Linked DNA regions of Arabidopsis thaliana. The protein of the gene in region 2 interacts with the protein of the main gene of each other region in a pairwise test. Each region holds a gene or a part of one and is shown on either strand. Other genes may lie near its edges.

Region 1 (5,414 bases), on a different chromosome or scaffold from region 2:
TGAAAGATGATTTTTGGTATACCAAGATTCTTGGCAATTCTGTTTGTATAAGGCAAACACATGTCAGCGATTATGCAGTTTGGCCTAGGTTGAATCTCTTTCAAGAGCTTCTCGACTGGTTCCTCGAGCAGGCTAAATGCTTTGAAGAAGGTTAATGAAGCCCCCAATGAATCGAGCAAGTCCAAATTCTCCTGTCCTTCCGGTGAACCCGATTCTTGAGATGGAAACTTTACTTGCACGAGATTGATGGGCAAGCCGGATTGGATAGCCCGGCTAAGAACGTTCTTGAACCGGCCTGCGTTTTGAGGTGTAGTGACAATGGTTATAGTCACCCCGCGCTGAGCCAGGAGCCTTGCAATATCTACCATTGGGATCATGTGGCCTTGAGCCATGAAAGGGAAGAGAACAAAATGAAGAGGAGGACGAAATTCCGATGCCATGAGGAACTCTCTTCTAAGGTTTATTTTTTTTGCTTTGGTTCCGATAATGTGTGTGTTTCTCTGTGCCTACATATATTAAGATGTGATGTAAGAAAGAACAAAAGGAAATTGGCTTATTATTCGTAATAGTTACAAAACACACTAAGTGGTTCACAGTACATATCGTGGCGGGCACTCATATGTTCTTTTGTATTCATATAAGCCCAAAATTTTAAGAGAAAATATCTTTTAGCTAGAGGTACGTCGAAAAGATAGTGAAAAGTTTATAGCCGTAAAAATTAGTATTGGATAAACGAATAAAGAAAGAAAAATCAAATTCGGAATATCTCAGTCTCTCCTTCTTTTTATGTCGTATGGACAAACAAGCCTCAACATTTGTCTTCAAACTAAATCAAAGTGTGTACTCTAGATTTCTAGCTATTCTAGTCTTTTTTTTTTTTTTTTTTTTTTTTGCTTTATGACGACTGATTTTGATAGGATATTAAATTAGGATATGTGAAATACTTGGTTGTTTTCTTAAAAACGTATTTTTTGTTTCCTCTTTTTTTTTTCTTCCGAAAAATCAAAACTCTTAATGAAAATTTCATTTAAAATAAAATCTCCTTAGGTGCACAAAAAAAAAAAAAAAAAATCTCCTTATGACAAATATCTTGATTGTTTGAAATTCAGATTGGTGACAAGATAAATCAAATTTTGTATAGCTATTAAAATATGAAAAACTATAAACGGATATACATAAAAGGAATTATTAGGGAAATTGTAGATTTCTTTAAAAAAAACATTATTGATAATAAGCCTAAAACCGCTAGAAGAATTAGGAAAGTTGAACTCCGCCGGACTACCAGCGCAGCTGTCTATACAATGAAATTATTAGACATTGGCTCTTTCTACGATTTCAATGTATATAAGTTGTAGTTTTTAAAATATTTACATAATTCTAATAGCAAAACAAGACGAATTCGATTACCCAACAAATAACTGATAAGATATTACATGCACGCACAATGATTTAACAAACAACAACAATATATACAATCAACTCTTGGATTCTACTTGTTGCATTATATCTTGTAGCAAAAATATGATATTAGAATGAGAAGAGCCTCCTTCTTCCACAGCCTTGTGAGCTAATTCTCCAAGCTCTCTGACTCTTTTTCTTCTCTCTTTTGCTTCATCACTCTCGCCCATTATTTCGTCCACTGCCTTCTTCACTCCTTCTTTATCCACTAACACTCCAATACTCTCCTCTTCTCCCCATTTCATGACCTCTTCAACCCCAACACTTACACCTGCTTTTAGCACCTGCACGATCAGTTTCTGGTTGCAGAATTGGTCTCCAAATAATGGCCAAGTGATCAATGGAACCCCTGAGGTGATTCCTTCTAAAGTTGAGTTCCATCCACAATGTGTCAGGAATCCTCCAACGGCAGGGTGTGAAAGGATAAGCATTTGAGGCGACCATCCTTTTATGAGAAGGCTTCTCTCTTTGGTTCTTTCTTCAAAACCGCTCTCTAAGATCCACTCAGCTAGTTCATGATACTTTCCCCCACCTCTTATGACCCAAATGAATGGTCTTTTAGTTGCCTCGAGGCCTAGCCCGAGCTCTCTAAGCTGAGCCAGAGGAAGATTGCATATACTTCCAAGGCAAACATACAGCACCGACTCTACATCTTTAGAATCAAGCCATTTAATACACTCGTCTTGATCAATGGCTGCCTTGTTTCCCCTCTCAGCTTTGTCTTCTCCTACCTTGTTGCACAAGGAAACCGGACCGATGCTCCATACTTTACCAGCCCTAGCCTCCGTGTAGTTTTTCACATAGGCAGACTCCAAATCCTGAAATGTGTTGACAATTACACCATAGGACGTGTCATCAGCATCCACCTGTTCGTCCATGATCTCTTTCCAATCTCCACTAAAGTTTGTTTTCACAGTAACTTGAAGCTTTGTAAATTCAACTCTATCTGGAAAACTAGGAACCAAGAAATACTCTTTGTCCGACTTTAAAGCATGTAAGATATTGTGGTTTCGGTGTAGAATATGCATACTCAAAAGACAAAAGCAAGACACGCCATGGAAAACGATCTTTGGGATATTGAACCTCTTAGCGATTTTGCTTGTATAAGGCAAACAAAAATCAGAAATTAGGCAGCTTGGTTTAGGTTTCATCTCTTCCATGAGCTTCATGACCGGATTTTCAAGCATGTTAACCGCTTTAAAGAAATGTACCATTAACTCCATTGAGTCAAGAAAATCAACATTCTCTTGTCCTTCTTGCAAACCAGCTTCTTGAAAAGGAAACTTCACATGCTCAACCCTAATGTGCAAGCCTGACTGGATGGCCCGGTTTAGGACATCTTTGAACCTGGCTGCGTTGTGAGGCGTCGTGACAATGGTAATAGTCACCCCGCGCTGAGCCAAGATCCTTGCAATATCCACCATGGGGATCATGTGGCCTTGAGCCATGAAAGGGAAGAGAACAAAGTGAAGCGGAGGAAGAAATTGGCGGGTCTTCTCGAAAGCCATGAGGACCTATCTCTAAGTTCTTTTTTGCTTTGATTCCGATTGTGTGTGTGTGTGTGTGTGTGTGTGTGTGTGTGTTTGTCTAAATGTCAGTGCATACTTTAATCTTATATTTGTTGATTCATGAAAAAGAATAAAAAACTTGGAAGTACCAAAATCTTGGTTCACAGAGATTATTAGTACATTACGTTTTGTGGCGGGCACCTATCTTTTGTATTATTTTGTATTCATATATTTGATAACTACATCTAAAATAAAGTGGAAAGAATTCACAACCGCTAAAATCAACTTGATTAAGAAAATAAAGATATCAAACGTAACTGGGACTCTATCGACAGTGACATATAAGAGATAACGTCTTCAAAATAAATCAAGAGAAGCTATATAAGAAACAACGTATGTTGGTGTGGTATGATTTGCTCTTATGACACATCTACCTTTACTATTAGTATTTGATATTTCTTTTCTTGAAAATGATATAGTTTTTAACTTGAGAAGAGGTCTGAATAAATTTTTAACCTGAAAATGATTTAATTTAATACGGTGGCTAGAGTTTATGTTAATTTTACTAGTAAATTTAGTCCGCATACAGCGGAAATCATCATCTAGTGCATCATTATAAGTTTTTTTTAATACATCTCAGAAGAACAGACTTAATTTGAATTAAATTATGGTAATGTTACTAAAAATGATGTAATCAGTTCTTGGATTTCACTTGTTGCATTATGTCTTGTAGCAAGTATGTGATGTTAGAATGAGAAGAGCCTCCTTCTTCCACAGCCTTGTGAGCTGATTCTCCAAGCTCTTTGACTCTTCTTCTCCTCTCTTTTGCATCATCACTCGCACCCATTAACTCTTCCACTGCCTTCTTTACTCCTTCTTTATCCACTAACACTCCTATTTTCTCCTCTTCTCCCCATTTCATGACTTCTTCAACCCCGGCACTTACACCGGCTTTTAGTACTTGAACGACCAGTTTTTGGTTGCAGAATTGGTCTCCAAACAGCGGCCAAGTGATCAGTGGAATGCCTGAGGTGATTCCTTCGAGAGTCGAGTTCCATCCACAGTGTGTCAGGAATCCTCCAACGGAAGGATGTGAAAGGATAAGGACTTGAGGTGACCACCCTTTAATAAGAAGTCCTCTCTCTTTGATTCTTTCTTCAAAACCGCTCTCCATCATCCACTCATATAGTTCATTATACTTTTCCCAACCTCTTATGACCCAAATAAAAGATCTTTGGGATTTTTCAAGGCCTAGCCCCAGCTCCTTGAGCTGAGACAAAGGTAGATTACAGATACTTCCAAGGCAAACATATAACACCGAACCATCTTCTTTAGAATCAAGCCATTGAAGACACTCATCTTGATCAATGGCGGCCTGGTTTCCCCTCTCAGCTTTATCAGCACCTGCCTTGTTGCACAAGGAAACAGGTCCAATGGACCATACTTTTCCAGCCCTAGCCTTCGTGTAGTCTTTGACATAAGCAGGCTCCAACTCCTGAAATGTGTTGACGATCACACCATAGGATGTGTATTCTGCTTCTACCATTTCGTCCAAGAACGCTTTCCAATCTCCACTTGCAGTTGTTTCCACTGGAACTTGAGGCTTTGTAAATTCAACTCTATCAGGAAAACTAGGAACCAGGAAATAATCTTTATCCGACTTTAAGTTCTTCAAGATCTCGAGGTTTCTGCGTAGAACATGCATACACAAAAGATTAAAGCAACCCGTGCCGTGGAAAACTATCTTTGGTATACTGAATTTCCTTGCGATTTTGCTTGTATAAGGCAAGAGCAAATCAGAAATAATACAGCTAGGTCTAGGTTTCATCTCTTCCATGAGCTTCATGACCGGATCTTCGAGCATGTTAACTGCTTGAAAGAAAGGTACCATCAGCTCCATTGAGTCATACGAATCTATATTCTCTTTTCCTTCTGGCAAACCAAATTCTTGATATGGAAAATTCACATGCACTATGTTGATGGGTAAACCAGACTCCATGGCACGACTTAAGACATTCTCGAACCTCCCTGCATTATAACGTGTCGTGACAATAGTTACTGTCGCACCGCGCTGAGCCAAGAGCCTTGCTATATCAATCATGGGAATCATGTGGCCCTGAGCCATGAAAGGGAAAAGAATAAAGTGAAGAGGAGGATGAACTTTGTGGGATTTTTCGGAAGCCATACCGGTTCCAACTCAATGATGAACTCTCAAGTTTTGTGGTTTTTGGATTGTGTGTGATCATGTGATCGTGACTTTATATATAGAAGATGGATAAGAATAGTGGTGGTCCAAATAAGGCTTCATTGACATGTGCAATAGATTACGTAACAATGTTGTTGTTGTACATAAACGGCAGATGTTATTACAAGAGGACACCTCAAGGTCAATACTTTCTTCTGTCGTCCTTTTGTGACCATTTTGCATTTTCTTGTGTCTTTTCTTTA
Region 2 (5,167 bases):
ATAAACCATGGAGACAACTTTCTCAATCAGTATTGGATTATGACATATCTGGTTTGTCAACTTTCTTGTTCTATGGTTGATTATAGAGTTGAATTTTAACTTTCACATAGTAATATGTTATATACCTATTTATCAAAAAAAAATTTTTCGTCAAGGTGGATTAGTGAAGAGAATGCCGTCTCTTGCTGGATTTGGCAAAGATATTGTTAAAAAATCTTATAAGGTGGTTTTGATATATACAAGATATGAAATACATGATCATGAGTTCAAGGCCAAGGTCCTATCCCTTGATAATGGTGAGCAAAGAGACGTAGGGTTTTATGACATACATCATTGTATCTTCTGCGATGAGCAAACATCAGTCTACGCCAACGGATCCCTCTTTTGGTTGACATTAAAGAAGCTTAGTCAAACATCTTACCAGCTATTAGCTATCGATCTTCACACTGAAGAATTTCGATGGATATTATTACCAGAGTGTGACACCAAATATGCTACTAATATAGAAATGTGGAATCTGAATGAACGTTTGTGCCTATCGGATGTGCTAGAAAGTTCAAATTTGGTCGTTTGGAGTTTACACCAAGAATATCCTACCGAAAAATGGGAGAAAATATATTCTATTAAGATTGACGTTATAAGAACCAACCAATTACATGAAAAGTTTTGGATGCTTGGTCTAGCGGCTGCCTATTTTTCAAATATCAGAAATCGTCAAGATCAAGTTTCTTTTTTTAGACAAAGAACGATTTCGTATTTGCCAACAATGATTTCTCCTTCAAATTTGATGCTTTGATGTTGTTAATTATACTTTCAATTTTTAACAATATTATATGTAAGTTAAAAAGAATATTTTTAAAAAAAAGATGTTTAGATATTTATTTATTTTAAGTATATTGTAATTTCTTTATTTGACATTATGGATTATTTTTATGTTTTATTTTCTCTTGTTTTCTTTCTTTCTGTCAATATAATACATATTTGGATATAGTTATGATGAATATATACAAGTTTTTGAACAAGTTTTTGCAATTTTAAAAGACATTGGAGAACGGAAAATGCAGTGATGCATTTTATGAAACAGTTCAGTAGCAGTCTTGTAACCAGCCGTGACAAGAAGCGTGGCTCTAACAAGAATGCAGAGGGAACTTCCAAATGCCAAAGCAACATACACAACCATTAACGTAGAAAGTTTCACAGGAGCTTGCACATCCTCAGAAATAGGAGTAGCCCAAGCCATCCAGTAGTTACTTCCAATCTGTAGAAGCTGAAAGAGAATTTGCCCCAACAATATGAAAGGCACAAGAGCTCCTCCGTATGCCAGTGTGATATATTTCCAGTATACATCCAAAGCGACGCTACCTTTCGCCCTCTCTTCCTCTTGAACAAATTGTCTTTGGGGCTCCCCAGAATCTAATTTATCGTTCTTCAGATCTTGACTTTCTTGTTTCCCGTCGAAACCAATATCATCTCTCACAACACCATTTTCTTCGTCTAAAGCTGAGTTTTCAGAAACAGAACTGGCATCAGCCGACCCAACTACTGCCAGAGACTCTTGATGCGCACCTATAAGCTCCCTGAAATCTGTTCCAGAGATGAGGATATCATTATATTTTCCAGCTTGGCTGATTCTCCCATCTTTCATGACCTGAGGCATAAGAAAATCGGTTATGGATGATTTCATATTCTCAGTGCTGTAGAAAATGATAAAAGACAGTGAACTATTCACATACCAGTGTAAGATCAGCAGAAGGTAAGAACTCAACTTGATGGGTTACATATATAACCGATTTAGAACATAAAAGCCCTCGTAGAGCTTCCTGAAAAAAGTATGAGAATGAAAATAAATTTGATACATGATTGTTTACGGAAGGAGAAATCACAATCACACTAATGGCTAAGTAAGAAGATTGTACCTTAAAGAGATGTGACCCTGTGTGTGCATCGACAGCACTAAAAGGATCATCAAACAGATAGATGTCCGCATCTTGGTAGAGAGCGCGTGCAATATGTATTCTTTGCTTTTGTCCACCACTCAAATTGATGCCGCGTTCTCCAATGACGGTCTGATCACCGAATGAAAGTATCTCCAGATCTTTACTCAAAGAACATGCTTCAATCACCTTATCATATCGTTCTCTATCCATATTATATAAACAGACTTAATATCAGTCATCTGATTATTTAAACTTAAATACAAGTGTATTAGACCTTGTTCTAGGAGCAGGCTCATATCGTTATGTATAAAAGAAGATATCTGTGTGAGATTGTTTTCACTGTGCAGTCCGAAAAGTGTTGCCTCAGAGTCTCCTGGATCAGATTATCAGTAGCTGTATCGATAGAAGCAATGGCTTCATCAAGAACCGGCCATACTTTGCTTTTCTTGAGAAAGACTCGTCTTACTGTGTATCAAGGCGTCGTAGTGTGTAGTTGTCAAAAACTTGTGGATCAGCAAAACAACATAAAGAAAGATCTTTGCCAAAAACTTCTGAGTTGGTATTACAGTCATTAAGAATGCTCGAAAAAGAAATTCTCACGTCCGTATTGAAAAACCTTCTTCAAGACACTCAGTTCTAAGATCTTCCATGAGACCCTGAAACATAGATGGATCGCTCGTCACAACAGCATCCACACCTAAGTGAAGCATCCTTTTCATGGGATCAGCATCATCCACAGTCCATGCATACACCTCTTTGTTTCTCCTGTTGATCAGATCGAGCAAGGTTGTAAACACATGAGCAGGTGTGTTTTTATTTGAAAACATTGAAATCGATTGCTTACCGACGGACAACTCTAACTAATTCTTCATCGATCAAGGGATGATAAACTCCCACAACCCTAGCTCCCTTCATTCTCAGCAGGCTGTTTCTCGCCCCAGTCAAAGGATCTACCATCACAATGTATCCCACCTGCCAAAATCACTAGGAAATGAGCAAGAAACTTCTCTATCTGATCCTCACAAGACAATCCATTTCTGTTTACCATAGTATCTGGTGCTCGTCTAATTATGTCCCTAGCCAAAGTGTCGCTTTTGGCCCATACGATGCAATTATTGCACTGCGCTCTCTCAATCTAACAACAGAGGATTGGCGATTCATGTGAGCAAAGCCAGAAATACCACCATTGAAACATCAACAATTTATCCATACTCTTGTTTTTTCAAGTATCTATAGTAAGCTGTTCTAGCTTTGTGTACAAAGATACCAGGAAATAAATGATTAAGCAACGCTATTAAGGAATCAAAACATGTTTATAAATCTCGAGCACATTGTACTAAAGCTTTACAAGTACAAGAGCTAACAAAAACATAGTACTTACAATAGAAAGGATGTCTTGTGCTAACCCCTTTTCATACATTGGCGGTCCAACTTTGGCATCAAGGATCACTTTCCGGACTGAATTCGATATCAACTAGATGATTCAAGATCAAAACTAGCTTCAGCCACTTGTTACTAAGCAGAAATTACAAAGCAAAGCAATGACAAGATAGTAATTAAAAAAACAGGCATTACCGCTAAAGCCTCTTCAAGAGTAGGAATCCTACTACTTCCCAAGGTTCCTTTAACAATCTCCGAGACATCGAGTTCCTTGATCTGCAAAAAGATCATCAAAAGGTTTATGAAAAATGGATGCAAAAAAGCATATCCCAAAAGCTGGTAAAGAGAGAGAGGGAGAGATGAGACCTGTTTCATACTCAGATCTCCAACTTGAACAGAAGAGTTACGAGCAATACGCTGCAGATCCCTGACTGTGCGTGTGATCAGAAGATGAATAAGAAGAACACCGATGAGAATCCAAACACAGAAACATTAGAAGAAGATGATACAACAAGGATCAGAGTCTGTAACCTGTTGTGAAGAGCGAATAAAACACCATCGGAGGAACGAGAAACATCGACTTCAATGCAATCAACTCGAGAACGTATAGCGAAACTGTAAGCGTCCATCTACGATTGAGAAGAGTCCAAGAGATTAAGGTTTAAAAAGGTTAGTAGCAAGAGTGTGAAGAAGAAGAGATCGAGAGTGTACGTACAGTGTTTGGGAAAGCGAGGGTGGAATCGCCGCCGTGAGCACAGACAAGTGGAGGATGGTGAAGCCAATCGCACTTTTGCGCGACAATCTGACGAATTCGTCGGAGCTTGAAATGGAAGTAGAGAGGAGGGAAGATAGCTAAGAAAATCACAGCGAAGAGAATCGTTCTCTTGAAATTTCTCGAATACAATGGGCTGAAGAAACGACGGCGACGAGTTCCTCCGCCGTCGAATGGCCGTCTTCTGTGCCGCCATTCAAAAATCGCCATTAGCTGAACAAGACAAAGGTTGTTTTTGGAGCTAAAGACGACGTTTACTGCAATCTTGGAAAAAAAAGAAGTTCACCAATCACCATCAAACTATATATTTTTTTTTTTTTGTCACAACTGTTTTATTATTTATATTACAAAGCCTTTTAACAAGCCATATTTTACAAAGCCATATAACAGGCCATAAACGGACAAAAGCCCAAAGACCACCTTCTGAAGAAGAGAAAGCTAATGTGCTAATAAGTCAAAGCCCACATGGCACTAGAGACACGGTAAAGAGGACACGTGGAAACAGAAAATGATGAGTTGCAGAATGTCGCAGGTGGAGAATCATAACCACAAAAAACTTAAGTTCACCGGAATTGCTGTAAACGCCAAATCGGAAGCAGCTACAAATCCGATGAGACAATTGACAAATCTTCTGTGACAATGACTGTAAAATTTAAAACCTTCAAGAAAGAAATAGCTCACAAACTATCGACTTCGACTTCTGCCATTTAAAGGAAAAACAACATAAACCCAAACGATTCAACAAGCATCGGCAACAAGAAAGACAAACAACAGCTCTAATTTCATCAAAATCAAACAAAAGACACTAAATTAAACTTCAATCCGTAACTAAAAATTTGATCTTTTAAAATGAAAACTCAATAAGCTTGAAGAACAAATTAAGCCCCTTAAAGAAGGGAGGATCGAAAAATTACAAATTTAGATCGAAATGAAGAGAAAGAGAAATCAAAACCAATTAAAACCGAAGCAAAATAGAATCGAACAAGGTTGAAAGGCAAAAACTAAATTTGAAGAACGAAGCCGACCAACGGTGCTAAAGAAACCACCGATGTCGGAGAAAAGCTAGCCGACGTTGCTA

The links. Proteins that work in one complex are often made in the same cells at the same time.
Region 1: the proteins of NAP5 (region 2) and UGT73C2 interact in a protein complementation assay, tested with the Arabidopsis thaliana proteins (one large-scale study listed by BioGRID).

What each region holds. Positions count from the first base shown.
Region 1 is NC_003071.7:15,411,567-15,416,980, forward strand, and holds UGT73C2 (UDP-glucosyl transferase 73C2), read right to left. Parts: upstream 3,029-5,414; 5' UTR 2,967-3,028; coding exon 1,476-2,966; 3' UTR 1,401-1,475; downstream 1-1,400. Other genes in the region: UGT73C1 (UDP-glucosyl transferase 73C1), read right to left, coding at 1-440; AT2G36770 (UDP-Glycosyltransferase superfamily protein), read right to left, coding at 3,661-5,151.
Region 2 is NC_003070.9:26,883,023-26,888,189, forward strand, and holds NAP5 (non-intrinsic ABC protein 5), read right to left. Parts: upstream 2,148-5,167; coding exon 1,917-2,147; intron 1,821-1,916; coding exon 1,734-1,820; intron 1,649-1,733; coding exon 992-1,648; downstream 1-991. Other genes in the region: AT1G71320 (F-box family protein), read left to right, coding at 1-51, 165-796; GDPD4 (PLC-like phosphodiesterases superfamily protein), read right to left, coding at 2,534-2,702, 2,782-2,909, 2,983-3,072, 3,319-3,411, 3,513-3,593, 3,684-3,744, 3,849-3,946, 4,033-4,299.